4 linked regions of the Elephas maximus indicus genome follow. The protein of the gene in region 4 interacts with the protein of the main gene of each other region in a pairwise test. Links are inferred from orthologs where the notes say so. Each region holds a gene or a part of one and is shown on either strand. Other genes may lie near its edges. The genes, in order: WIPF1, NUP62, STAM2 and ABI2.

Region 1 (7,941 bases), about 29 Mb from region 4:
ACTAGGAAGAAAGGCCTGGGGTCTACTCCCAAAAATTAGACAGTGAAAACCCTATGGACCACGATGGTCTGATCTACAACCAATCATGAGGATGGGGCAGGACCAGGCAGTTCTGTTCTGTTCTGCATGGGGTCACCATGATTCAGGGCTGACTCAATAAAAAAAAAAAAAATGGCAACTGATAATCACAAGAAATAAAATGCACTTTTGTTTATTATTAACTTTCTGATGTGCACTGTAGATGCCACATGTCTTAGTTACCTAGTGCTGCTGTAACAGAAATACCACAAGTGAGTGGCTTTAACAAACAAAAATTTATCTTCTCACAGTTTTGAAGACTAGAAGTCTGAATTTAGGGCACCAGCTCTAGGGGAAGGCTTGCTCTTCTCTGTCAGCTCTGGAGGAAGGTCCTTGTCTCTTCTGAGCTTCTGCTCCTGGGCAATCTTCATGTGGTTTGGCATCTCTTCTCCCGTCTCCACTTCTTTCCCTTGCTTGTTTAATCTCTTTTATATCTCAAAAGAGATTGACTCAAAACACGCTCTACACCAATCCTGCCTTGTTAACATAACAAAGACAACCCATTCCCAAATGGGATTACAACCATAGGCATAGAGGTTAGGATTTACAGCACATGTTTTGGGGGGACACAATTCAACCCAGAACACCACATATGTACCTAAAATTACAACAGCCAGGAACACCTTGGAACACCAAAGACAGTGACACAAACCCAGTATGTAATACTGCCCACAAAAATGGGTTCGTCCCTTACCAGAGCAACTGAGACAATAAATACCACCTTCTCTTCACTCCCACCACCTTTTAGCTCATTAACACTCTTAAGTCTTGGTGCCCCACACTGTATGGTGTCTGGGTGGCCTCGTGCTGGCACTTTTTGCTGTTTTACACCCATTATCTCATTTGTTCCTCACACCCTTTAATGGAGGAAGAGCAAAGGTTATCAACCCCACTTTTTGGAAGAGATAATTGAGGCTCAACTTGCATGATATGCCTAGGAGCACCAGGGAATGGTTGAGCACACAGGAGACAATTTGTGAAATGAACAAACAAGTGAAAGAAGACATCAATCCCCCCCATCCCCACACCAAGCTGGAAGTGATCTCATTCTCTCTAAACGTCCCAGGATTAGATCTGTACTTTGCTTACAAATTTCTTTCCTCTATATCACAGTCTGAAAGTTCGTGTGCTTCTCCGGGAGCCAAAATTATTATGGCAGGGGTTGGGTAGATCCAGGGGAGGAAGACAATTTTTACTAACACCTGCAGGTTCTACTCTGCACACTTCCATTCAACATATAACACAGAGGTAGCTGGGGATTTGGAGAATAACATCACACCCCGTCCCTGAGAAACTCAACCTTGTGGGGATGACAGGCAGGCAAATACACGGCAACAGTGGGAGGCAGCGTAAGGAGGGATTAAGATGCAAGGTGCTGATAGCCTGCTCAGGGTTCTCTCACCTCAAAAAGTCAAAGGGTGATTTCCAAAATGGTAGCACAACATTTTTTTTTTTTTTAGCACGACATTGTGAGAGTATTAAATGCCACTGATTTGTACATTTTAAAATAGTTAATTTAATGTTATGTAAAATTTACCACAATTTTTTAAATCCGTTTAAAAAAAAGATTTACGAAGTGAAATAGGAAATTTTTAGGGAGTTATTTTATCCGTTATAGAAATGGGTGCTTTCGAGGTGGGCAAAAAAAAAAAAAAAAAGCCAACGACTGAAAATGAAGCTACAGTATTGTTTTCTGGTTTGGGAAACCGGTAAAAGAAAACCCAGTCAGGGTGGGGAATCTGTCCTGGCTCTGCAGCTGCCACTAGCCTGAGTCTGAGGATGAGGCGTCCAGTGAAGATCCGGGGGTGGGATGGGGGGGGGCGGGCGAACTGAGACGCGCTTTCAGAAAAAGAGACCCAAGTCCACCCAGTCACTGCTGACAACTCGAGAGGCTTCCCAGGGAACTCAGGGCAATGAGCCCGTGGTCCCAGAGGGACTATTCATGGAATAAAAAGTAGGACCAAAAATTCCTCACACAGACACACCCTTTGTTAATCTCAAAGAGTTCAAAGTCTACCCCCGACCGAGGCTAGCTGGTTTCTCTTAAACCTGCAACTCTTTTTAACTGTTATTTAAAAAAAAAAAAAAAAAGGAAGAAGAAAAGGATGTTAATATCGAGAGGTACGGGAGCGAGACTGAGGTGAAGCTGTCCCGAGGGTTCGGCACAGGCCTGGCGAAAACTATGCCAGGAACTGGAAGCGCCTCCAGTCAACCGACACATAGATGGTGCGCGTCTGCGCCGACCCGCGGAGCCGGCTGTCCCAGAGCACCCGGCGGGAGGCCAGTTTGGGAGCCGAGCGCCGAGAAGCCGCGATTCCCACCGCGAGGACGACGGCTCCAGCGCGTGAACTGGCCCCGGGGACGCCCGAAAGTCCCCGCCCGCCCGGGCGGGGTGCAGATGCGGGTCCTGCGCATCCCGGCTAAGTAACTGCTGCGGCCGAGGTCCGCGGGCTCAGGGGGCGCCCCGCCCGCGGTACCACGTCTGGAGCCCTCCTCCCCGGACAACCCGCCGGGCCTGCAGGAGGCGCCGGCCGGGAATGGCGCCCCTCCCTCCCGAGGCCGGGAGACTGAGCGGGCCCCGTGCGCCCGCCGCCCGCAGGGACCCCGCCTCGACGGCCCGCGCCCCCGCCCCGCGCCACTGCGTGCCGCACGGCGCTACAGAGCCCCGCCGTCGAGCCGGCCCGCCCCGGCGGCCGCGGGGTCCCCCTGGGGCTATCCGAGACCCCGGAACCCCGCCCCCGGCGGTGGCGGCGCGTCCTTACCGCGCAGCGGCTCCGGGCGGCTCCCCTGCCCCGCAGCGCGCCGGGCATTTTTTCCGGGAAACCTCTCCCCCGGTCCGCGAGGGCTGAGCCAGGCGGGAGGAAAAGCGCTCAGCGCCCGGAGGCTGCGACCATCCGGGAACTTCGCCGTGAAGTAAACCCTCCCCCTCGGCTCCCCGCCACCCCCCGGCGGGCCTGCCACATGTGGACGCGCGCGAGGCCGCCGCCGCGGGCCTTGGCCTTGTGCTGGGGGCGGACCCCCTCCCGGCCTGGTGCTGAGGCTCTGCGTCCGCAGCCTCGGTTCCCACAGGATCGTGGCGGGAACGGGTGGGTAGGAGGCCAGGGCTCTTGCTTTCCCCAGCCCCCTTTCCTGCTCGGTGAAGGGACGAGACTGTGGGGTCCGGGACAAGGGTTTGCCGAGAAGCGAGACCGGGAAGGAGAGTCCGATCACGGTGCCCTTTTCTCCAAATACCGGCCTCATCTCTGAGCTTCCGCTGCTGCTGGGGGTCCCTCTTCCCCCACCTGCAGGGAAAGCTTTTCCCATCACCTTCCCCTGTTCACAAAAGAGAGGGTCCAGTTTTGAGACATCTTAAACTTCTTTTTAAAAATGGTGTAAAAGCTGTTCCTTCCTGCCCTCCCCCTCTGGTGGGTCACAGGCGTGGCACCCAAAGAGGCCCAAGGTCCACAGGCATCTCCTCCCCTCAACTATGTGGGGACATAGTGCTATTTTTTCTTTGGAAAGATCCGCCTATCTGAAGGGGAATCTTTCAGTCGTTTTGCAGTTAGTGGGGCTGGATTTATCATCAGCCACCCACATCCTCAAATATGACCTTCCTGTGATCAACAGTAAACAGAGAAATCTGAGGCCAGATCTTGCAAACCCATACTTACAAGACTCTGACTGGCCGTGAAGGCTGCCACCCCCAGACCCCAAAGAGAAGTTAACACTAAGACGACGACACAGTAGAATGTGTGCATTAGAAGGACAACAAAAAGTTATTATCAATATAATAACCATTTAATCATATAGTTAAAATGCCAAGGCTGTGTATCCCCTTGAATAAAAGCAGAAAAGGCAGGGATATCTGCACTTGAGACCTGCTATCCTAGGCTGAGGAGGTTGTTTCTCCTTGACTCCATGCTTTCTCTGCTCCCTCACTAGTCCCATGTGCACACTTGTATCTGCACATGCTTTTAACAGATACAGTAACCCTTCTGGGAAGATTTAATAACATGGCTAAACTCTTCCCATGACAGATTTTTTCCCTAAATGTGCCCATCATTTTAAGATTCATTATATATTTGCCTTTCTTTTTATACCATTTCTAAGGTAACATACACCTATTATGTTTTATATAAAAAGAAGGCAAGTGATTCCAAATATCAATATATCAAGAGTTCCAGATTTGAAAATAAATCAGTGGCACTTAATCACAGTGTGGCCTGCAAGTTAAGCCCAGGAGCTGCCTGGTTTCCCTTCTAGCTCTCTGACATGGATTGAATTGTGTCCCCCCAAAATATCTGTCAACTGTGCTAGGTCTTGATTCCCTTGTATGATTCCATGATTGTCTACCATTTTATCATCTGATGTGATTTTCCTATGTGTTGTAAATCCTGTCACTATGATGTAATAAAATGGATTAGTGGCAGTTATATTGATGAGATATGCAGGATTAGATAGTGTCTTAAGCCATTCTCTTTTGAGATATAAGAGAGAAAAGTAAGCAGAGACACATGGGGACCTCATACCCATGCCAGGAGCAGAACACGTCCTTTGGACCTGAGGTTCCTGCACTGAGATGCTCCCAGACCAAGGGAACATTGATGACAAGGACCTTCCTCCAGAGCTGACAGAGAGAAAGCCTTCCCCTGGAGCTGATGACCTGAATTTGGACTTGTAGCCTACTGGACAGTGAGAGAATAAATTTCCCTTTGTTAAAGACATCCATTTGTGGTGTATCTATTAGAGCAGCACTAGATGACTAAGATACTCTCTAAACCTCAATTTCTGCTCCAGTAAAATAGAGACGGTAGTTCTACCTCCTAGGATTGTTGTAAGGATTAAATGGGATAATTCTTCCAAAAATGAGCAGAGTAGTGGCACACAAGTCGAACAGGGGTCTTTGTTTATCTTTGATTTTCCAATGTCCAGCCAAGCTACTGGCACTTTTTAACAGATTGATTAAACATTTGTTGGGTCAAGAACTCTCTTGGGTTTATGCCTTTCAGGGATCCATATTATGAGTTTTTGTATTAGTGTACGTAGAAGAAAATGAGGAAGGTAAAATACATGCTCCTCCCCCATAATTTCATTATCAAAAGCCAAAAATAAATGGTGTTCTGAATTGTCCATTATTTTAAATCATTGCCGTGGGTTAAGGAAATTAAGTTTACTTAAAGAATTTGTTCTTTGCGGTTGGTCCCTAAAGATAATCTATAAAACCTTGGAATCTTCCCAGTGATTGAAGTTTCTTTTATCTGTAAGGCTACAGATTACACCTGAGAGTTTATGCTAGTGAGGTGACTCTTGGGTAGGGATTGGCCAGGCCAGAAAGACTCACCATGAGGTATCAGCCTGACATCAGGGTGGATTCAAACCACCAATCTTTTGGCTAGTAGTCAAGTGCTTAACTGTTTGCACCACCTAGGGACTCCATGGGCACTTAATTACATCAGCAAAGTCCCTTCATAGCAGCACCTAGATTAGTATTTGAGTGAGTACCTGAGAGGAAAAAAAAAAGGCCTGTTGCCATTGAGTCGATTCTGACTCATAGCATCCTTGTAGGACAGAGTAGAACTGCCCCATAGAGTTTCCAAGGAGTGCCTGGTGGATTCAAACTGCCGACCTTCTTGGTTAGCAGCTGTAGCTCTTAACCACTATGTCACCAGGGTTTCAAAAACCAAACTCATTGCCATCAAGTCAATTCTGATTCATAGCAACCCTACATACCTATAGAGTTGCTATGAGTCCGAATTGACTTGACGGCGAGGGGATCACCCGAGATAAGTGTGCATAAACCAGGGATCAGGAATCTTGGAGCCATCTTAGAAGTCTGCCTATTACAGATATCAATATTTATCTTCCTACTTCCCTAAATATGTATCTACCTCATTCTTTTTAATAGGTACATATTATTTCACTGCATGGTGTATCATGATTTAACCAAATCCCCTATTAGCAGGCGTATGTGTTACTTCCAGTTATTTGCCTTTAAAAAAATGCACAATAATCATTCATTCTCATAAATCTCTGTGCATCTATGTACTTCTATAAATAAGTATTCTAGAAGTAAAATTGCAAGGTAAAAGGGTTTGCGCCTTTTGATAGATATTACCAAGTTGCTGTCCAAAATGTCAGTACCAAGTTATACTTCCAATGACAGTGTATGAGGATTAAATACCTAATTCTTGTAAATAATTAAACTCTCTTCGTAGACAGTTTCATCAGGAGGCTATGAGTGTAGTGCTTAAACACATGGGCTCTCAGTCATGTCACCTGGCTACCAATCCTGGCTTTTTCATTTCTTAACTGTGTGACCTGGACAGGTAGCTAAGCCTTAGTTTCTGCATCTGCAAAATGAGGATTGTAATAGTACCTCCTTGCGTTAGTTATCTGTTGCCATGTGTTATGGATAGAATTGTGTCCTCCCCCCCAAAAGATATGTTGAAGACCAGACTCCTGTACCTGTGAATATAACCCTATTTGGAAATAGGTGGTCACACGGGAGTAGGATTCTGAATCCTAATCTCCTTTGAATGGTGTCTTATGAAAACAGCAGAGCAGACACAGAGAGATACTATAAGGGTAAATGCAAATTGAAGAGAAAAAAATAAGTATACATAATATTCCCTGATGCAAAAAAGACAAGACCTCCCCTTCCCTGTTTTTTTGAGCATTTACTTTAGATGTCTTGTAGTTGTAAATTCTTTGCCTCTTGAGAAGTCCTCCTGAATGGCTAGATAATCTTCCTGCCAGTTTTACAACCCCGGGATGTTTCCTGAGGGAGCTGGGAGCCATCTTTTTCAAATGTAATTAGTAAGGAAGTAGCTCCTCTGGCCCTCAAGTTCTGTGGGAGGGTAAAAGCCTAACTTTGGTGGGCTTCAAGCTCTAAAACTACCTTCTGTTATAAAGATATCAACAGCTTATTTTTCCTTTGGCCATTAACAAACGCTGGTGGCTACCCTTATAACCAGGTGAATCTGAGATAAACGGTGTTGTCAAGCTTCTTATCCTTTATCTGGAGAGCACGTATGTAATGGGTTGCATCTGCTTGCCTATATAAGGTTCAGGTTCCTTTCTGTCTTTGCAATCTCTTTAGCAGACTGCCACTGTGTTCTGGTTTAGGGTTTATGCAATAAGAAAACTGTTTTCTTTCTCTTCTGCTTTTGTGGAGAGGTTTTCTGGTTTGGGAGCAGATTTTGTTTTTAATTATTTTCCCCAACAATACACAGAAGAGGGTGGCCATGTGACGATGGAGGCAGATGAATCTACACGCCTAGGAACACCAAGGATTGCAGACAGCTGCTATCGACTTGAGGGCACTGGATGGGCTAGACCTGGTGTCGCAGTGGTTAAGCACTCAGCTACGAACCGAAAGTTCAGCAGTTTGAACCCACCATCTACTCCATGGGAGAAAGACATGGCAGTTTGCTTCCATAAAGTTTTACAGTCTCAGAAACCCTATGTGGCAATTCTTCCCTGTCCTATAGGGTCACTATGAGTCAGAATCAACAGCATGGGTTTGGTTTTCTTATCAGGCGAGAAGCCAGGAGAGAGATATAGGTAGAACAGTTGCTCTTTCAGGGCCTCAGAAGGAATCAACACGTCCTTTACCTTCATTTGGACTTCTAGCCCCCAGGCCCATGAGATAATAAATTTCTGTTCTTTAAAGCCACCCACTTGTGGTATTTTTGTTACAGCAGCACAAGGAAACTAAGACACTGTGTAATGTAACAAATAATTCCAAAATTTGTGGCTTAAAACCACACATTTATTAGCTCATTGTTTCTGTGGCTCAGGAATCCTGGCGCAGCTTTGTTGTGTGCCGTCGAGTCTATTCTGACTCACAGCAACCCTATACGGGAGAGTAGAACCCCATAGAGT
Region 2 (7,809 bases), on a different chromosome or scaffold from region 4:
ATTTTCAGCCAGCAGTGCAGCCTCTTTAAATCTCTGACCCCCCCCCACCTCCCTCTTTCCCTTATAAGGACCCTTGTGACTACATTAGCCCACCCAGATAATCTAGCATAATCTCCCCATCTCAAGATCCTTAATAACATCTGCAAAGTCCCTTTTCCCATGTAAGGTATTATATTCACAGGCTCCAGGAATTAGGATGTAGACATCTGTGGTTGGCTATTTTGGCTACCATATGTATAGTTTTTTATTTTTATTGCAAATATATGGATGCATTAGCAAAATATGGTATTGACTGCACCTTTGTTGACAAGTTGGTTGACTCGTTCTTTCGTTGGTTGGCTGGTTTGTTGGTTGTTTGGTTGACTAGCTCATCGATTAGTTGACTGACTGCTTCATTCATTGGCTAGTTTACTTACTGATTGATTGGTTGACTGCTTCACTGACTGATTTGTTGACAGGTTGATTGGTTGGTTGACAGTTTGATTGGTTATTTGGTTGGTTCTCTCAATTTCCATTACACACTCCATATATTAAGAAGGCTTAGAAAGCTAACCACGTGTGTTGTCCAGACTCTCTTGCAGCTAGAGCTCTACATGACAGTTAGGTCTTCTTGATGACAAGAGAATGGGAGGCTTTTAAGGAGGGGCTGCAAGCCCATCTCCAACTTACCTATTTCTCCCAAGAGGTCTGCATAAGAAAACTGGCTCCTCAGCAAGAGAGCATCCCACAACTCACATTGCAGCCATCAGCCCCTTTTGTTTTGGAGTCATCCTTTTTGTTGTATGAGACAAGGACTGAGGGAAGCTGGCACCTTTGGCTGTTCTTTCTTTCACTTTCTATCTAATTAATAAATTAGCTGAATCTAAAAAGAGGTTCATTGTATCAGCTGTGGATACAGCTACTCCCCAACTTCCCCTCTCAAAGATAAGACATGGAGACCAAGAGGAAAGTCATTTTATTTTTGTTCACAAACCCCCAAAGGATCACTCCCCGCCCTCCCTCACCTAGATGCAGCCCCATCCCCCAACACCTTCACAAAACACTGATTTCCTCCCAGAGCTAAAATTGAACACCCAGTCACCAACTATGGCCATTCCCCACCCTGCCCCTTCCTCCCCACTGCCTGTATATTCACCTGCTCTGTGAACTTGGCCACCTCTGGACTCTCTCCCCAAAAGTAGTTCTCCCCAAGGTCACTTGGCTTGGTTTTTTTGCTTTTTCTTGAAGCGCTCCCTGACTTACCTATCCAGAGTCCCTGTTCTCATTGGCATAGTAATTCTGCATAGCTTCCTGGCCCCACCTCTAGGTTCCAGCCAGGACCACTCCACCCCGCACCGAGAACAACTTGCAAGAAAGCACTGATTTGGGACTCAAGAGGCCCTATTTCCAAGCGCTGATCTGCTCCCTGAATTCCCTGTAGCTCTCAGTTCCTCAGCTGATACTTGAGGGATGGAGATGTTAACTAAGGCCAAACGTTCCAAAGTTCTGAGGATGGAGTAGGGGACCAAATTCAGAAATGGGCTAGAAAGGAGACAAGGATAAAAATAAAGGAGGGAAGGGTGTAGAATGAAGCTGGAGGTAGAGGGATGATGAAGGGGTCCCACCTCAGCCACAGAAACGGAAGTGACCCAGAGCTGAATACCAGTGCCCCCTACAGGCCAAAGCCCCTGCCCATCTAGCTGTTGCGTGTCCTCTGGCTTCGAGCCTTATACACTTCGATGAGCAGATCCTTGACGTACTGGATCTCCCGCTCCACCGACTCAGCCCTTTCCCTCAGCTCCCGGTTCCGAGCCTCCAGCCCCTGGCACTCGCCCTCCAGGGCCTCGCCCTCTGCCCGCTTCCTCTGGCGGTACCTCAGAGCTGCTGACTTGTTTTGGTCTCTCTTCTTCTGCTTGCGGTCCCCTCGGGTGGTGGCAGGGTTGGGGTACGGGGCTGGGCGAGAGGGCTGAGGTGGGGGAGGATGGGGCTGCTGTGGTGGGGGCAGGGGTGCCAACCCCACAGCATCCCCCTGCCCAGTCTCGCTGCGGCAGTAGATGGCCAGCAAGTCGAGGGTATCCAGGGCAGGGGGCTGGGGGAGGTCTAAGGTGGGGAGGGGGAGAGGAGGAACTTGTGGGGGTGGCGGAGGAGGGGAGGGTGGTGGGAGGAGTGGGGCATCAAGAAAGAAGTCTTCCATCTGCTCCAGCTCCTTCTTGAGGAGGGAGGCCATGGCTTCCAGATCAGGTGGGGGCGGGGAAGGTGGGGGAAGGGCACCAGGGGGAAAGGGAGGCTCCAGAGGAAGGAGGGCTGTGAAGTCAACCCGCTCAGTCATCCAGTCAGAGAAGCCGTCTCCTAGGGAATTGGAGAAGGGACATAAAGTTCCATCTGAGTTCCTGGTCCTCCATCCAATTGGGTACTCATTCATCCCATTCATTCAGTAAAACAACCAACCAATCAACAAATCATCAAACCAGTCAACAAGCCAACAAGTCAGTCAAGCAACCAATGAACAATCAGCCAACAATTTGACCAATCAACCAACCAACCAGTAAATCAATCAATGAGCCAGTAAACCAAGCCATCAACCAATCAGTGAAGCAGTCAACCAGTCAACCAAACCACCTGTAGACCAGCCAGACAACCATCCCACAAACCAGTCAACCAACCAATGAATCAGTCAGTCAGCCAACTAATCAATCAACCAGTCAAACAGCCAAAAAACCAGTCAGCCAACAAAAGAACCAATCTGCCAACCAGTCACCCAACCATCCATCAACCAACCTTTTCTTCAACCAATCCAACATCCTCTTTACTTTTTTCTACGGTTCCTCTAATCTACTCTCTAGTTTGTCCTTAAAACACCAACTAGATGACATCACACACACATACACACACACCGTGCTTCAACTTTAATTCATTAATTACTGAAAACCTACAATGTGTCAAGCATTTGGGATATAGTAATGACTAAAACAATTCCTGTCTCAGGGTCTCTGCATATGCTGTTCCTTCACCTGAAATGCTCTTCCCTTGGGCCTTTTGATAGCTCGTTCCTTCCCATTCTTCAGGCCACAGCTTAATGTTACCTTCTTGGACAAGGTATCCTGGCTACCCACTCTAAAACTAGGTCCCCTTTGATATTTTCTAGCTCAGTCACTAAGTGCTTCCTACTTAGTCCCAATACATCTTCGTTTTACTTGACTGTTGTCTGTCTCCCCACAAGAATGTGAGTTCTGGGAAGGCAGGAATCATGTCAGTCTTGTTCCTGGCTCTATCCTCAGCAGCTAAAACAGTGCCTGACGCATTGTATTTACAGAATCAATGAATAAATTAATTCTTCCTTCTCCCTCTCCCCCACTTCCCCCCAGCTCATCCACCTCCATTCTCCACCTGCCCTTACCTGCCAGGGGCTCTCCCCCCCCTGGAAGCCCGCCCTCCAGGGCTCCCCCAAGGACCTCATAGGGGCCCAGGGGGGCAGGGGCCAGGGGGAGTTTCCCATAGTCTACGAGCCAGCCCAGCCCGCTAGCTGGGAGCAGGGTCCTGTCCAGCTCCAGCCCCAGGGTCGCCAGGAGTGACATGGCTGCAAAAGAGGCGCTGGGCACGGATGGCAACGAAGGAGGCAGCACCAACAGCTGGGAGGTTGCTCAGATGGACTAAGGCAGGCACCAAGGCGAAACCGGAGGACCTACACGTTGGAGACAAAGGGAGCAGAGTCAGCAGCCAGACCGCCACCAGCCAAAGGCACCGGGAAGCCATACCCCCATTGCTAACAGGTTCCCCCCTCTCGGAATTCTAAACCCTGAGCCCCCCACACTCCCAAGGGAATTCTCCTTAGGCCTCTCCCATCCACCCCTTGACACTCTTCTTCATTAAAAAACCTGAATCCCAGGGGAATTTTCTTCTAGCCACGCCCCTTCCCCAAAAATGTTTCCTTTAGGCTCCGCCCCATCCCTAGATTCCATCTCAAATCAGTTCCCAGGGGAATTCCCCCATGTTTTGTTCCTTCATCAATGCTATGTGCTTAGACTCCACTCTTCGCTTAAATTTAGTAGTGAACCCCCACTCCCCGCCTGCCCCCGTGCCCTCCAAGCTCCACTCCTCCTGAGTCCCTATAGGCCCCGCCTTTCTCCAGACGAAACCCCTCCTCGCCTGGCCCCGCCCTTTCCCACAACGTGTTGGCCCGCCCCTCACGAAACCTGTGTTCCTCGCCCTAAGCCCCGCCTTCTTCCCTGTCAATCTAAACTAGGCCCCGCCCCAGCAGATGCCTGCTGAAAGCGAGTGAAGCTACGCTGTGCGCCACCGCAGTGTGGAGAAAGGAGGGCGGGGGAAAGGTTGTGGAAAATGTCTTCCACCCCCACCCTTCCACAAGTCGCCGTCTCCCCGAGGGCTAAAGCGCATGATCTGTCATCCAGGTGGTGTAAATTGTGTTCTCATGCATTCCCCCCCTCCCCGCCCTCTTGGGGGTCAGTGCGCATATGCGGCGGCGTACGCCCCGACCTTTCCGCACAATTACGGGCTCTGGTGGGCTGGTGCGCATGACCAACAGCGTACGGCTAGACTCGTTTCCGGGGGAGGGGGAGGGAACTCTGTGGGAGCTAGTGCGCGGCAGTAACCGCACGCGTTCCCTTAGCGTAAACAATCAGGAAGAACCCTGCCCCCCCACCTCGGACCGAGTGCGCATGCTCCGATGGGCGCCGACAGGCGCCCCCCCGCTTCTGCGCCTGCGCAACCAAGATTCCCCAATCACTTCTCCCTACCCAACCCCCGGTCAGGCCTTGAGGGCCGCGCGCAGCGAAAGGGCGGGAAAGGCGGTTGGAGAGGGAGGGGCGAGCGGTTACTCACTCCATGGCGGCAGAAAGGGGAGGCAGCGGAGGCCTCGGCTGAAGAAAGAAGGCAAGAGCGGATAGCGCAGGTGCGGTGAGCGCGGAGACGGGCCGGGGGGCACGGAGGGGTCGCGGCTACAGGGCCATGGCCAGGGCTACGCGGGCGGTGGCGGCGTCGCGCTAGTGTGAGGAAACCGTGATCTGAGGACGGGGAATGAGGCGGCCCCGGGGACTGGGGACAGATATACCGCAGGTGGCGCAGCACAGTCCGTCCGGATCCTTCCGCGCTCCGCCCCTGTGCGGCCCTAACCGGGAGGCGGGCCCGGAGCCCTCCTCCCTTTCACCCGGGGTTCGGACCCCCTCTTCCATCTCATCTGAGGATCGGATCCCCTCCTCCCTCTCACCCGGGCGTCCGGCGCCCTCCTGCTTCTGACCCGGGGGTAAGACCCCTCCCTCCCTCAGAACCGGGGGTCTAGTCTCCTCCTCTCTGTGATCTGGTGATCAGACTCGCTCGTGTTTCTGGGGATCGGGCCCTCTCCTGTCTGACTCTGGAGCCCGACCCCGGCCTCTCCTCCCTCAGACTCGCACGTGGTCATTTCTCTGTTCCCTTCCCCCCTTCATGAAAGAATTTCCTGCCAACCACACCCAAATCTCTCCGTCCATTCATCCCTCAGCTGCTGCCCGGGCCTGAAAAGCCTTGTAGGTTTGAGATCTTGCTTGAGTCAGAGTCAGATGGCCTTCGTTCAAGTCACAGAGCGGCCAGGGTGGCCTTGGGCAAATAACTGAAGTTTTCAGTGCCTCATGTGTCCATGTGGTAGGGTTGTTTGTCAGAGTTAAATAAGGTGATGTCTTCGAAACCCTAAGCACAGAACCGGGCTCATACTTGCCTGGTAAACGGTGCCTTGTTATTAAAAGGAACTCTGGTGCCCAGTCTCACCCCTTCTGGCAGAACCCCAGGCACTGGACCACCCAACACCTGTTAAGAGGTCATTTTTGTGTGTCTCAGTCCTCCCTGGTGTTCATTTCCAGCCATCCCCTCCCTCCCCTTCCCAAGTGGTAGATGCTCAGCCACTTCCAGGTGGAGGGATTCAGGCCTCATGGCCCCCTCTCCAGCTTTTTCTCTTTTCAACAGCCCCTGCCCACCTTCTTCAGCCCTCGTCAGCTAGTTCTTTCTCCTGCCCCTGCCCTTCTCCCGATGGTTTTACAGTTTTTTGTCTCAGCTGCCACTCAGCATCAGGGAACTGTCTTCCAGCCGGGGTCACTATAAGTCCGAATCCACTTGACGACATCGGGTTTCCTTTGGTTTTTACCCTTCCGTTCATTAAAAGAGAGGGCGCATCACCCCCAGCTGGCCCAGGTGGAGATGGCTCTTTGCTGTGCTGCAGAAGGTCCCTCTCTTTTCCACTCGTCGTTCATCCACATGGAGTTCAGTCTCATCCCTTTTGGGGCAGCTACAAAACAATCAAAACCCGGGGAAGGTGGGTTTTGAGGCTAGCTGGGCTAGCCTATCTTGAGATCTGACCACCTTCCGTTAGAGCCAGATTTGAGCACTAGCCCTGTAGTTCCTGGGATTCATAGGGGCTACGCTATTACTTAGGCAGTATAGGGCAGCACTTTAAGAGCTCAGACCCTGGAGCCAGATTGTCTGGGTTCAAACCCAGACTAGCCGTGTGGCCCTAATTTCCCCATGCCTTGACTTCCCTTGCGGTGGAACGTGGCCAATAATAGCATGTGCCTCTTAGGGCAATGAGGATTAAATGAATTAATCTCTGCCTGTCCTTTATAGTAGTGCTTGGCACATAGTGGCTGCTGCTCAGGGTTGTTACTATTACTGTTCTTGCTGTTAATACTGAGATGCATATGTTCTGTTTCCATTGCCAGCAGTGGATCCTTTCAGACCATAATGGCCTTAGAGCTTTGGTGTGAGGCTTAAGGATGGACTCCCCTCCATGTCTCAGTGTAGATATTTGAACAGTAGCAGGTGGCAGGGATTAGGGTTGACTGTCGGGCAGGCTGTTAGCCTGGGGAGGCCCTGTCCAGACTACCAGAAAAGGGAAGCCCCAACTCCAGCTGAAAACCTGCTGCTGGCAAGATTGAGCCCTGGCCCAGCCCTTTGGCACCTTCCCTGTTGAGGTCTATTTTCTCACTCTATCCCCCACCTACAGTCTTCTTCTGAGAAGGCCCTCTGGGTTATATATATGGAAACTAGGTAAATAAACTATTTTAGTAAAAGTTTAGATTTACCGAAAAGTTACAGAGAAAGTGTAGCGTTTCTGTGTACCCTACATTCAGTTTTCCCCGCTGTTAACAACTTACAAGAGGAAGGTACAGTTGTCACAGTGCTGGAACCAGCATTGACACATTACAACAAACTAAACGCCACACTTACCTGATTTCATTCCTTGTCCCTGCATGGCCTTGTTCTGTCCCAGGATCCCCTCCAAGGCACCACATCACACGTGGCTGCCTCTGGGCTGTAGCCACTGCTCAGACATTCCTTGGCTTTGATGATCTGGTCAGATTTGAAGAGGGCTGGTTGGCTGTTTTCTGGAATGCACTTCACTTTGGGTTTGTCTTGTGGTTAGACTGGGACTATGGATTTTTGAAAGACCCCTGGTAGCACAATGGTTGAGTGCTCAGCTGCTAACGAAAAGATTGGCAGTTCCAACCCACCAGCCATTCTGTTGGAGGAAAGACCCAGCAATCTACTCCTGTAAAGATTACAGCCTAGGAAACCCTATGGGACAGTTCTACTCTGTCCTGTAGGGTTGCTATGAGTCAGAATCAATTCTGTGGCACACAACAACATGGGTTTTTGAGAGGGCCCCCAGGTAGGGTATTTTTTAAATAACTGGTAATGGGAATCCTGTTACTAGTTTGTGGGGCACCTGCTGACTGGGAAGGAATTGGGGCAGGGACCATGGTGGCCGACATCCCAGCCTCCCATGCCGTTTTCTCTCTCTGGGCCTTATGTCCTTGTCTGGTAGAGTTGTTGGATTCCGCCCGATTC
Region 3 (6,838 bases), about 53 Mb from region 4:
ATGAGTGACCTCCTAGACATCTTGGCCCATCACTGCCCAGACCAAGAGATAAGTTTCAGTTCAGGGTCTGGGAAAAGCATCTCTTACCCACACAAATAATGTCAGAAAAGACTGCTCACTCTCCAGGTAAGACTCTGCGCCTACCAAAGGCATGCAGTGTCACCTTTAAAGCCCTTAACTATAAACAACCATACCATACATATAGCAAGAAGCAGCTGCTTCCTGCAGGCGCTGTCAAGAAAGGGGGCACAGGGATAGTGTCAAACACCTTTATAGGGAAAGCTCCTACCTGAAGGTTCTTGTCTTCCCTTCAAGGAGGAGGACCTTTTTAAATAAAGGGAGAATTTAAAGCATTTCAGTGCATTTCTAATACTATACTTAACAGAATATATTAAGATTACCTTTAACTCTTTTTTAGGGGGAGGTATATGTTAGACTGTGAGTTCCTTGAGGGCAGGACTCAGTCTAGTCACTTATTTTTGTGACCCCAGAACTCAACACGATGCCTGATGCACAGTAATCATTCAACACACGTTTGCTGAATGAACAGTGAAAAAGGTATAGCAAAAAAAAAAAAAAAAACACAAAGGTGATAAAAAAAAAAAATCTGACTGAATCAGAGAGATGAAAAAATAAGTACACTGTAAAACAACACTCAGGTCAAATAATGACTTGCTTTAATTACAACTATTCCAAATTAAAAGAAGCCTGAAGATCTGAAAAATGTAACATATTTCTCTTCTATGAAAAACGCTTGAGGCCAGTTTGAACATCTTAGTATTTCATTCCACTTTTTCTATTAATTCCATTCTTTTTTGTCTAAAAGAAGTTATAGGTGAAGCCTCAATCAAACTTGCTTTTTCAGATACTGAATTCAGTCATACTTGCGCTAACAAACACTTGGAGCTTTTGTTGATGGTACTCTCCACGAAATAACCTATATATTAAAACAGCAGTGGTTTTTATACGGACAGCAGTACCTCAGTTACCGCACCAGTACTAAGCTGCGTTCCACTAAACTATGCAGGGACACAGAAGCCACAAGGGGAACAGGTAGACCTCCTCAGGCTACTTCTCCCAGAGAAGTTTTCTATTAGAAAACAATCAGCTTCTAGGAAAGAGCGCCACAGCTTTTTGTTTTAAAATAATTTTCAACTCTATTTTGCCCTTTCCACTGCTGTATTAAGATAAAATGAAAATCCTTACAATAGCAATAAAATGCACAGGTTTCACAAAATGTACAGGTGTTCCAAATGCAGAGCCTGTGCTCCTCAACGTTATGCTTCCTAGATTGGCACCAGTCAACTAACTGTGTTCAAATCTCAAGAAAAAAAGGTGAATGAAATACAGGAATGCATATTTGAAGATTATCTAAGGGTCAAGGTGTAATTATAAATATTCTTAATTCTATCAGAACAGAAGGGACCTACACATCTTATTTGAATCTCATATATTTGACTTTTGAATGTGTTTGGGGATCACATCATATGCCAAACTAGAGAACTCTCAACAGTCTCCCCGTAATTTGAAATTATGACTATGAAGCAGGTGGGTTACTGCTATGATGTGTTTATTCTGTGACTCGGGCCATTTTCTATCATACTTTTTCATTTCACCAAAACCTAAAGCTCTACCTAGCATTCTGTTAACTAAGAAAAAAAATTTTTTTTTTTAACTACTGCCCCCAAAATGTTTTCTTTACCATTCTTTTTTTTTATTCTTACCGTAACACCAAAGATAAGGTCCTATTTCCAGTCCATCTTTTTCTCATTCCAAGTCAATAAAAGACCAGTGTTCTTACGACCAGAACAAATAAAGTATCAGTTGTTTTGAACCGTTTTGAGACCCTAAGATTGGTATTTACCTTTTCAGATTGTAAGACAAGACATCTCCTAGCACCTGCGTCAACATCATCGGAGAATAGGGAGTAACGCCTCCAGCAATTGTAAATAAATCGTGAAGCTGCCCTATCAGGGCTTGCCTCCATTTGTACATTAGCAAAGTGAGTTCTTCCTAATAAATGGGGGCAAGTCGAGATCTCTAGTGTTGGGCTGTCTTATCGATGGTTGCACCATCTCCTTAAAAGAAGGGGTTGGGAGAAATAGATAGGGGTTTCACTAGGTCTGGAGCAAGCAAGAAGTTTGTATCATCACTCCACAATTGCTTAATTAGTCCCGCCTCCGGCCAACCGGTGACTCTTCCTTATTCCTGCGCTTGGCGAGGGGAACGGCTCTTTTTCGGGGTCCTCAACCTCAGGCTGGAGCCCTGGTAGCGCAGTGGTTAAGCATTCGGCTGCTAACCAAAAGCTCAGCAGTTCGAAGCCACCAGTCGCTCCTTGGAAACCCTATAAGGAAATTCTACTCTGTCCTGTAGAATTGCTATGAGTCGGAATCGACTAGACGGCGAAGGGGGAGGGGGGCAAACTCAGGTAGGCAGAGGACAAGCCCCAGGCAGCTGGCGATGAGCCAAGGCTGCCCCCCAAAAAACTCGGGCTCCGAGGCTGCGGCGGCGGCAGCGCCGCCCCTTACCTCCCTTCGCTGGTCTGCCCAGTCCCTAGAGTCGCCCCCGCCCACTTTGTAGCTGGACAAACTGCAGTCCGAAGCCCGGGCCCAGCACTCACCCACGTCTTGTTCGAAAGGGTTGGCAGTGAACAGAGGCATCTCGCCGACGCCCGAGCGCTAGCCGCAACGGTCCAGCTGAAGCTTGGCAGGGGCTCCCCGCTCGCTGACCCGGGGCCGCGGCTTCCTAGACTGCTCCGCTGGGGCCGCCGTCCCAGCACTTCCGCCACCACACCTGCCCTGCTCCCGCCTGACAGACCTGCTGCTCTTCCGCACTTGGCGCCGGGATCCCCTCCTGAGGTGAGGCGCCGCTGGCCGCAGGCATCTTTTCAGTGCCCCTGTTGTCGCCACCCACCATGAGAAATGGCAACTCCTGATTTACGGTTTCCTAGGGGTCAGGCGGTCGCCATAGCCACCCCTCCATAGTTAGGACCCGGGCGAGCCACGGAGCGGGGGACCTTCAGGGCCGGAAGTTGTCTCTCCTGGAACTGGGCGATGCCAGAGGCCCGGAAGCTGCAGTTCCGGCGGCGGCGCGGCAGGGGGCGAGATCCCCCGAGATTTTCTGCGCGGGAATCAGGCTCTGAAAACCGCGTTCCTTACCTTAGTTTGAGGCCTGGTGATTCAGTGCTTAAGAGTTCGGTTGCTGACCGAAAGGTTGGCGATTTGAACCCATCAGCCACTCTACGGTAGAAAAATGTGGCAGTCTGCTTCTGTAAGATTGTGGGTTTGGTTTGGGGGGTCCGTTTAGTTTAGTTCGTTCCTGGGCGGCGGGATTAGTCCCTCACGGCGGTGGCCCCATGGCTGCGTTTGCGCTGCTTTCCAAATGGAGCCGCCAGCAAAGAGGTAGCTTTGAGATTCTGCGGAGGGCCTGGCTTGCTCTCGGCCTCTTACAGCGTTGCATCTCACTCTGCGCCTGAACCCTGCCGTAATAACCGCCACGGGAATCGAAATAACTGTGGTTCTGTGGGGACTCCTAACTTCACTTTACGTCATGTTCTCAGCATGAAAACACTGTGCTCAGCTCTGGCACTACCAAAACGAAATGCGGCACAATCCCTGCCTTCGAGTTGCTGACAGTTACTATATGACAATATATGACGATCCTGATAGATAAAAGAAAGGGTCACACTGAAATTTCCTTTAGGAGCCAACCAGGTATTTAAATGAATGTAGAAGTACAAGCACCCGTTCTGGTTAGTTTCCATTCCCCGTTGTACAGGTAATCTGATAAATGTCGGCGGATACCTTTTGGAAAGGATTGGAGGAATATAGTAGCTGGGGCGCCCTGATGGTGCAGTGGTTAAGAGCCGGGCTGCTAACCAAAAGGACGGTAGTTCAAATCCACCAGCTGCTCCTTGGAAACCCTGTGGGGCAGTTCTGCCCTGTCCTACAGGGTCACTAGGAGTCAGAATCCCCTGGATGGCAATGGATTTTATTTGATTTATACTTGCTGTGGCATTACAGGATTTTTTCTCAAGGGGATCCAGCCTCCTGTTCAAATATTGGGCCCTGGGTCAGAGAGCTAGCTCAGGTTTGGGTGGCTAAGAAATTTTGTATTTTCCATTGTGGCAGTTAACATATGGCACCCATTCTTGTCTTTATTTTTTCCCTTGTTGGGTTGTGGGAGGAGGTAATCATCAAGCAATACCCACACTGGCTGCTGTCTATTTAACATCAGGAACACTGTGGCTTATTAATCATCCATAGACTCTTACGGGTCAGGGCCCCCTAGTTGCCATTCAGGCTTTGCTGTAACTTACTGTTATGTCCATTTTGCCTCTGATGGTAGTTTTGCCACCCAGCCTCTGTGATTCTGGTACCTTATCATGCAGCTAAGTAGCAGCCAACTCAACCCTCAACCCCGACCTACAAAGAACAGCTACCGTTGAGCTTAATAATGCCAGTGCTCCACTTATACCTCATAGCAACCTTATGAACAACAGAACAAAAAACTGCCTGGTCTTGAGCCATCCTCACAATCGTTGCTGTGTTTGAGCCCATTGTTGCAGCCATTATGTCAGTCCATCTCATTGAAGATCTTCCTCTTTTCAGTGACCCTCTACTTTACCAAGCATGATGTCCTTCTCCAAGGACTGGTCCGTCTTGATAACATGTCCAAAGTATGTGAGACAACGTGTCAACATCCTCGCTTCTAAAAATCATTCTAGCTGTACTTTTTGCAAGACAGATTTGATTATTCTTCAGTATTTTTCGCTAACACCATAATTCAAAGGCATCAATTCTTTGGTCTTTCATATTTGTTGTCCAACTTTTGCATGAATATGAGGCGATTGTAAGGGGTCAGGTGCTTGTCCTTGTCTTAGTTATCTAGTACTGCTCTAACAGAAAAACAAGTGGATGTTTTTAACAAAGAGAAATTTATTCTCTCAAAGTCTGGTAGGCTACAAGTCCAAATTCAGGGCATCACCTCCAGGGGAAGACTTTCTCTGTAGGCTCTGGAAGAAGATCCCTGTCATCACTCTTCCCTTGGTCTAGGAGCTTCTCTGCACAGGAACCTCAGGTCCAAGGGACACGCTCTGCTCCTGGTGCTGCTTCCTTGGTTGTATGAGGTCCCCCGTCTCTGCTCACCTCTGTCTTTTATATCTCAAAAGAGATTGGCTTAAGACACTATCTAATCTCGTAGATCTCATCAATATAACTGCCACTAATCCATCTCATTACATCTTAGTCATAGGAATAACAACACATAGCGAAATCACATCAGATGACAAAATGGTAGACAATCATATAATACTGGAAATCATGACCTAGCCAAGTTGACAGATATTTTTGGAGGACACGGTTCAATCCATGACAGCCTTCAAAGTGACATCTTTGCTTTTTAGCACATTAAAGAGGTCTTTTGCAGCAGATTTGCCCAATGTAATGTGTCATTTGATTTCTTGACTGCTGCTTCCATGGGCATTGATTGTGGATCCAAGTAAAATGAAATTCTTGACAACTTCAATATTTTCTCTGTTTGTCATGGTGCTGCTTATTGGTCCAGTTGTGAGGATTTTTGTTTTATGTTCAGGTGTGGATCCATACTGAAAACTATAGCCTTTGATGTTCCTCAGTAAGTGCTTCTCAAATTGTCTTTGCTTTCAGCAAGCAAGGTTGAGTCATCTACGTATGATAGGCTGTTAACGAGTCTTCCTCCAGTCCTGGTGCCAAGTTCTTCATATAGTAGTCCAGTTTCTTGGAATATTTGCACAGCCCTGACATGCACCTTTCCTGGCTTTAAAACATGCAGTATCCCTTTGTTCTGTTCAAACAACTGCCTCTTGATCTATGCACAGTTTCTCATGAGAACAACTAAGTGTTCTGGAATTCCGGTTCGTCACAATGTTATCCATAACTTGTTATGATCCACATTTGAGTGCCTTTGCATAGTCAATAAAACCTTGGTAAACATCTTTCTGGTATGGTCTGCTTTCAGCTGGAATCCATCTGACTTCAGCAATGATATTCCTCATTTTACACCTCTTCTGAATCCAGCCTGAATTTCTGGCAGTTCCCTGTGGATGTATTGCTGCAACCGTTTTTTAATTATCTTCAGCAAAATTGTACTTGCCCGTGATATTAAATATTGTGCGATATTTTCTGCCTTCTGTTGGATCACCTTCCTTTGGAATGGGAGCAAATGTGGATCTCTTCCAGTTGTTTGGCCGGATAGCTATGTTCAAAATTTCTTGGCATAGACCAGTGGACACCTCTAGTGCTGCATCTGTTTGTTGAAACATCTCAATTGATATTCCATCAGTTTCTGGAGCCTTGTTTTTTGCCGGTGCCTTCAGTGTAGCTTGGACTTCTTCCTTGACTACCATCAATTCTTGAACATATGCTACCTCCTGAAATGGTCGAACATTGACCAATTCTTTTTGCTACAGGGGATCTGTGTATTCTTTCTGTTTGCTTTTGATATTTCCTGTGTCATTCAATATTTTCCCCATAGAATTCTTAAGTATTGCAACTCGAGGCTTGAAATTTTTCCTCACTTCTTTCAGCTTGAGAAATGCTGAGCGTGTTCTTCCCTTTTGGTTTTCTAACTCCAGGTCTTTGCACATTTGATTATATTATTTTACTTTGCCTTTTGTCTACCCTTTGAAATCTTCTGTTCAGCTCTTTTACTTCATCGTTTCTTCCACTTGGCTTTAGCTACTCTCCATTCAAGAGCAAGTTTCAGAGTCTCTTCTGACACTCTTTCTGGTCTTTTTTTTCTTTCCTGTCTTTTTAGTGACCTTTTGCTTTCTTCACGTATGATATCCTTCAGAGCTTTC
Region 4 (7,049 bases):
GCCAGCCAAATGTGCTGCTGGATCAGCACAAATTCACCGCAACATGTTCTATTTATCAACTATACGACAAACAAACCAAGTAAGAGCTGTCATTGTGAGAGAGGGCGTCAATAATATAGCTACTGAATCCTAAAACAGATGGTAATCTAAGAAGTAAAAGTGTAAAGTCTACTTCAAATGCTAAACTGTAGAAATTAGGGATTTTAAAAACCCAAATCCATTTCTATCACATCAATATTTATACACTGGGTTTAAAAACACCACCACACTAATTTTTGAGTCCTATTGCTAAGACAGATAATGGTGGCAGTAATGGTCCTCTTTTTCAGCTACAAAAAATATATAAAAAGAAGACAATCACTGATGCCTGTACCCTTTTGGCTTTATTAATCCATTTACTTTTATCTTTATGTAGCAATCGTAAGAGATACAAATCTGTTTCTTTTATTACTTACTGGTGATAACCACACCCAATCACTTTTCCATCCTCAATTTCTCTTTTGACTACAACTCTTTCCCATAATACGGAGCACAAGGCAATGCAATTAACACTTCAATCCTTTAGGTTTTGCCTTTCCTACAGATTGTGAATTTCTGAGACTAGCATAGCTTCTGCCAGTTTTTCTTTCCACCTGCAGTCTATTACAGAGTATAAATCACCAAATCAAAATGCAGCCCTGCTGGTGCAGTGGTTAAAAGCTATGGCTGCTAACCAAAACGTCAAAGTTCAAATCCACCAGCCGCTCCTTGGAAACCCTACTGGGCAATTCTACTCTGTCCCATTGGTTCACAGAACTACCCCAGCCGTCACAGACCTATATGGTATTAATTTGCTCACACATCAGCCTCTCCTAAAAACTAGACTATAAAACTCTGTAGGCACTAAGTATAAGACCCCTCGGTAGCACAAGCTGTTTGTGCTCCACTACTAACCTAAACATTGGTAGTCTGAGCCCACCCAATGGTGTTTCAAAAAAACTCCTGGTGATATGCTTCAGTAAAGATGATCGCCAAGAAAACCCTATGCAGCAGTTCTACCCTGTAATACATGAGGTCGTCGTAAGTGTGAACCAACTAGATGGCAAAGGATCTTTTTTAGGCACTCCGTGGGCACAGTGCTGAGCACAAAGACATTCAAATACATTTAGTGAAAAAATGAGAAACTAAACTTTTGAATCTCTCTGACCTCACTCAGTATCAGTGAAGTACCCTGCCAATACAGACATTTGTATTTTTTGTATTAATCTTTGACCCAAGACACAGCCTTCCTTTTCCAATTAGACATATTTTCAACTGCCTCGTTGGAGGGAAAAAGCTTGTATTATGCCTGGTTCATTCTCCAACAGAAATATTCCCTACAACATAAAACAAAGTTCAGTATATGTCTAATCAAGTAAAATCTCACACTACCACCATTAACCATACCCTCCTTACAAAACTTATGAACTTATATATTTTAACACTTGGGTTTGTTTTTTAATTTACTCTAAGACTTAAGAATGCTTCCCAGTATAGCTGATGTTAAGAAAGATGCCTGGAGAGATGGAGGTGGAAGCAAGAAAAAAAGGTCAGAGTGAAGAAACAATTTAACAGTTTCCATTTCCACCTTTATCCCAAGAGAATTTAAACGGGAAGGAAAAAAAAAATGGACGCAGAACCTGTAATTCAGAATAAATCATCAAGGAAACAAAAGATGCTGAATTTGCAAACTGTGCGTTTTATCCTGCTAGTCTTTCAAATAATTTTTAAAGGACTTTTTTTTTTCCCAAATCCAGAATCTTCTGCTTTATCCTGGAGCAGCTGGATCTCATCTCACCCAATAGCCACTCTCCTCCACCCCCCCATACACATACATACATACACACACATGCCACACACGCACCGTTACCACTATGAGTCCCTGTGCCAAACCAACAATCACGGGAATACTAAACCATGAGGTTCATTTTCCTAATTCTCTCTAAAAAAACAATCACAATCCTTTTTCTCTCAGGAAAATTACCAATCTAACGGGACGGGGGGGCGGGGGGGAGAGCAGCTCATTATCACGCAGCTTCCCTTTCCCATAAGGAGAAAAATGGCAATAATTTCCAACAAGAAACAACTGCTCTTCTACCGTATCCCCGTTAGACCTAAAGGGGGAAAATGGTCTTCTGAGGCATTCACATGAATAGAAAACCGAAGTATTTTACTTTGCAGCAACACAGCCCCTTAAAAATCCTCCAGTGCTTGAGGGTTGGGGGTGACCTATCATTCCCCTCCACAGCCTCCCTACGTGGGGGAGCAGAATTTTGGCAAATAGAAAATGCCACTCTCCGCCTCCCCTGCCATCCCGAACACAGACCGGCACCGAGTGCGGGGGCGGATGAGGGCAGGAGAAGCGAGGAGGCGGGGACACGACACACGCACCGCGCCGAGGACTGATTCACGGTTTTTAAAAATGTTTTAAAAGCCACAATCTCCTCCTGCCGAGGATTCCCACCCACTCTCCATCCCCTGTCCCAGTCTTCACCCTGCACCCCCCCGTCAGGGGCTCAGCCCGGCCAGCTCTCCCGCGGCGGCCTCCGCCCGCTCCCGACGACCCCGGGAACGCGGCCCCCTCCCAGGGGGTCCTCCGCACGCCCCTCACCGCCGAGGCCCGACGGCCCCGCCCGGGGGATGCGTCGCACCTGGATGTAGTTGTTCTCGCAGTAATCGGCCACCCGTTCCAGATTCGTGTAACTGTCGAAGAGGGCCCGGCGGCCCCCCGGGATTTCCTCCTCCAGCAGCATCTGCAGCTCCGCCATCTTCACATCCTCCTCTCACCTCATACAGACCGCAGAAGTGGCCGCGGCGGCAGCGCCAGGGAAACCCAAGGCTGGCAGCGGAGGAGCACAGGCGGCAGCGGCAACCCGCCGGAGCGAGAAACACCCCCCGCGCGCGACAGGGGAGGGGGCGGCGTGGACGGGGGCGGGGCGCGAGCCGACGGACCGCGAGAACGGTCACCGCGGCGACGGCCGGCCGGGCACGCGCACGCGCGCTCCCCTCCCTCCGCCCCCGGGAGCCCGAAAAAGATTCCCACCCTCGGCCGCACCGCCTGCCCCTCCCCCACTTCCGGCGTCTCCTAGCGACGGCGGGGTGGGGGCCGGGATACGCGCGGGAGCCGGGCGCGCGGTTAACCCTTCGGCCCCCCGCTAGTTCCGCTGCCGGGGAAGTCCGCTCGGACGCCTTTGTTAGCCGGTCAAGTAGGCGCTATCCTGCTCCGCTGTCATCCCGCCGGCGTCTTCCACGACTTTCGGCGTTATTCTCACCCTGGGGGCCGGATCCCTGTGCAGATCGAGGCTTTTCTCTGCTGCTGATTGAAGGGCGAGGAGTCCATCCTCCGCGAAAGATCACATCTTCTCAGGGCTGGGATCAAACTCACAAAACTTCCGTGCAGCTTTAAGTGCCGCCTCAGTTTTCATTTTTCTCTTCATCTTAAAGCTCATCCGTTTTGGTACGGATAAGTAAATTCCAGCTTCTTCATCCCAGATCTCCTGTACTCTCGGTTTTACTGCACTTACTTGACCACCAGAGCTGTCTTCCTTTGCCCGTCCCCTGGGGCTCAGCTTTTTTTTTTTTTTTTTTGCCCTAAGTAAAAGTTTACAATTCAAGTCAGTTTCTCCTACAAAAACTTATACGCACATTGCTGTGTGACCCTAGTTGCTCTCCCTACTGTGTGACAGCACACGGAGCTCAGCTTTTTGTGCTTGCCCTCTTCCATGGTTCTCTTCCTCACTGACAGCCTGTTCTGTCATCTCCCTGGTTCTGTGAACGTCGCTGTCTTTTTCTTCCAGAATTCAGTACTTCAAATTCTGAAAACGGTTTTGCTGGTACTAATTTTCTTCCTTACAGGGCTGTTACATGGATAAAATAAAAGTTTATGTGAAAGCACCTTGAAAAGCGAAGTGCTACAAAAATTGTAGATAATTTTGATTTTGCAGAGTTGTTACATCACTCTGTTCTTCTTCTCCAGGTATTCAACTTATATATATCTTTTTTTCCCTAAATCTAAGTAGCCTTCAGAATGTCATTCTTCAATAACTAAAACTCCTGACAACTGCTGAGATATTAAGTCTGTGACTTTTATTTGTACTGGGGAAAGTCAAGGTTGACTCCAGGTGTACCATTTTAGGCATTTGTAGTTTAGAACAGGATCCATTATTTCAGCTCTTGTTCTTGCTCTTTTGATCTCTTGGCCCTCCTACAGTCATTTTTCTTTCTCGTTGAACTGTAAGAAGCCCACAAAATCGAGACCAAACCCAGTGCCGTGGAGTGGATTCTGACTCATAGTGACCCTATAGGGCAGAGTAGAACTGCCCCATAGAGTTTCCAAGGAGCACCTGGCGGATTTGAACTGACGATCCTGGGGTTACCAGCTGTAGCACTTAACCACTACGCCACCAGGGTTTCCAAGAAGCCTACAAGGTGGGTTAAATTATAGGCAGACTTTTCCCTTACTACACTTATTCCCACCTAGCATCCTTTCAAATAAAAAAAAAAATTTTTTTAACTGATTATCAATTAGCCCAACAAACAGATTTCCCTGAGGGATGATTCATCACCCTGGGAATCACTGGGAGAGCAAGGCAGCCCACTCTAAGATTCTAACTCAGCAGCCCTACAAGGAGAGAGTAGAACTGCCCCATAGGGCTTCCAAGGAGCAGCTGGTGTATACTTCTTCTAATTTGTGACTTCTTTGAACCTTAGTTTTCTTAGCTGAAAAAAACAAACTCAGGTCAGTAGTTACCAAATTTGAGCATGCATAAGAATCACCTAGAAAGCTTGTTAAAACACAGATTGATGGGCTCCACCCCCAGAATTTCTGATCATTTGGCCTGGCCCAGTAATTTATATTTTTAACAAGTCCACTGGAAGTTCCTGCGTGGTGCAAATGGTTAAAGTACTCAGCTACTCAGTGAGAGGTTGGAGGTTCATATCCACCCAGAAAGGCCAACGATCTACTTCAAAAAAATCAGCCATTGAAAACCTCATGGGGCACAGTTCTTTGACATACGTGCAGTCACCATGAGTTAGAATTAGCTTGACAGCAGCTAGTATAAGTTCCCAGGTGATGCCAATGAACCCAGGAGATGCCAATGAAACTGCCCTTCTCCATCTGAAGGTCTATGATTCTAGTTGCTGGCAGCGGGGAATTTCCACCAAGAATGGAAATCAAATCTCCCACATAATCAGTTAGCAGCAGAGCTCATTAACCATTTGCACCATCCAGGAACTCATCTTTTCTCATTTAACTGGTTAAGTAACTATTTTTTGCTAACCACAAAGCTACTATTTAAAAACAAGCACTGCTAGGTTCAGGCTCAAAACAGGCCAAACAAAAATCAAATTATAGTATAACCATTATACACGGAATGACTTCCTCTGATCTTGGAAAACTCAGAATGTTCGTTTATTCATTCATCAAGTAAATTTAGCATGGATGCATTATGGAGAAAGGACCAGGAAAGTATTGCTAAAGGCAGACTCTAGGGGCAATCCTGGTAAGAAATGATGGTGATCTTCAGGGAGGGTGATGAAAGAAGTGGGTGGAATAAGAGAAATATTTGAGGTAAAATCATAAGGGGTTAGTGAATGATTCCATGTGGAAGCTAAAGGATAAATCCATGCTGGTAGACAGGTGTCTGGCTTGGGCAACTGAGTAGTTGGTAGTTCCATTTACATTTAAATTACATGATATTCCACAAAACTGTAAAAACTTTTTCCAGTTTACCTTCATTCTCTGTTTCAATCATTATCATCAATAACCCTGGCAAAAAGGACACTATTTTAGGTTCTGTGTTGCTATTGTACTACTCTTGCTAAGTTATTTAATTAATAAACAAAATCCATAAATTGTATATCGTTTTGGCCCTCTCAAGTACTAAAGACTAACAGTTGTAGAGAAAGAGAAAAAAAGCAGGTAACTTGCTTAATTCCTACTATGTGCCAGGATTAATTCAACATTTTACATAAATTAACTCTTAAATATTAAAAAGTAGGTTTTATTATCCCCATATTTTACAGTCCCAAAAAATGAGGATTAAAGGAGCCCTGGTGGTGCAGTGGTTAAGCACACGGCTGCTAACAGAAAGGTCAGCAGTTCAAACACACCAGCCGCTCCTTGGAAAAAAGATGGGGCAATCTGCTTCCGTAAAATTACAGCTTTGGAAATTCTTTGGGGCAGTTCTACACTGTCCTATAGGGTTGCTATGGGGCTGAATTGACTGAGGGCACAAAACAACAAAAGAAGTTAGAAATTTACCAAACCTGCTTAAAAGTCATGGAGTTAGCGGTTCCACACTGGTTTGATAATTTAAAACGTTTTTCTTTTGCATTGTAACATGACAAATCAAACTTCTCTTTATTTTAACTGTAAAGATCAAAGGCATACTTAGATACTTGAAGCCATTCATTATTTTTTTTCTTTTCTTTTTAGGGCTTAACAGAACCCATTTCTTCAATTGCTCCTCATCGTATATTATAGAATTATGGCATGTTCAAGTTGGAGGGTACCTTAGAAAAATCTAGGTCCTACCCCAACATTTTACCAATGAGGAAATATGAAACTCAGAAAAGTTAAGTGATTGCCTAAGGCTACATGGCTAGTAAATGGGAGAGTGGAACAAAGGAAGTTTTAGAAACAAATCTTATTTTAGAGCTCTTTCATGACATTTTAAAGTAATACACTCACAAACACAATGAAATTTAACACAATTCCTTTTTATGTAATTAAGTTCTCTGTTAGATATTACACAGTACTCAGGGGAAATGCAGAGTTTTCATTCAAACAATTGCATGATTAATTGAGTTCCCATTCTTACCCCAAATAAGAAAAATCATAATCAGTGATATTTTCATATTATTTGTACACATTTCTAGGTCCACGGGTGGTCCAAATCGTTTGCCCTTGGCTACTAACTGAAAGGTTGATGGTTCAAATCCACCCAGTGGCACCACAGAAGAAATGCCTGGTGATCTACTTTCATAACGTTACAGCCATTGAAAGCCCTATGGCGCTCAGTTCTGCT

What was found.
Region 1: the proteins of ABI2 (region 4) and WIPF1 interact in binary tests that used the Homo sapiens proteins (3 or more experiments, as listed by UniProt). The link is inferred for Elephas maximus indicus from reciprocal best matches to the Homo sapiens genes ABI2 and WIPF1.
Region 2: the proteins of ABI2 (region 4) and NUP62 interact in binary tests that used the Homo sapiens proteins (3 or more experiments, as listed by UniProt). The link is inferred for Elephas maximus indicus from reciprocal best matches to the Homo sapiens genes ABI2 and NUP62.
Region 3: the proteins of ABI2 (region 4) and STAM2 interact in binary tests that used the Homo sapiens proteins (3 or more experiments, as listed by UniProt). The link is inferred for Elephas maximus indicus from reciprocal best matches to the Homo sapiens genes ABI2 and STAM2.

The regions. Positions count from the first base shown.
Region 1 is NC_064824.1:72,796,485-72,804,425, forward strand, and holds the start of WIPF1 (WAS/WASL-interacting protein family member 1), read right to left. Parts: upstream 3,009-7,941; 5' UTR 2,841-3,008; intron 1-2,840. UniProt on the Homo sapiens protein: Plays a role in the reorganization of the actin cytoskeleton. Contributes with NCK1 and GRB2 in the recruitment and activation of WASL.
Region 2 is NC_064829.1:100,371,308-100,379,116, reverse strand, and holds the start of NUP62 (nuclear pore glycoprotein p62), read left to right. Parts: upstream 1-4,799; 5' UTR 4,800-4,888; exon of another isoform or gene 4,889-4,908; intron 4,909-7,809. Other genes in the region: ATF5 (cyclic AMP-dependent transcription factor ATF-5), read right to left, coding at 1,676-2,328, 3,377-3,554. UniProt on the Homo sapiens protein: Essential component of the nuclear pore complex. The N-terminal is probably involved in nucleocytoplasmic transport.
Region 3 is NC_064824.1:49,378,235-49,385,072, forward strand, and holds the start of STAM2 (signal transducing adapter molecule 2), read right to left. Parts: upstream 3,013-6,838; 5' UTR 2,661-3,012; coding exon 2,621-2,660; intron 1-2,620.
Region 4 is NC_064824.1:101,915,896-101,922,944, reverse strand, and holds the start of ABI2 (abl interactor 2), read right to left. Parts: upstream 3,022-7,049; 5' UTR 2,787-3,021; coding exon 2,670-2,786; intron 1-2,669. UniProt on the Homo sapiens protein: Regulator of actin cytoskeleton dynamics underlying cell motility and adhesion. Functions as a component of the WAVE complex, which activates actin nucleating machinery Arp2/3 to drive lamellipodia formation.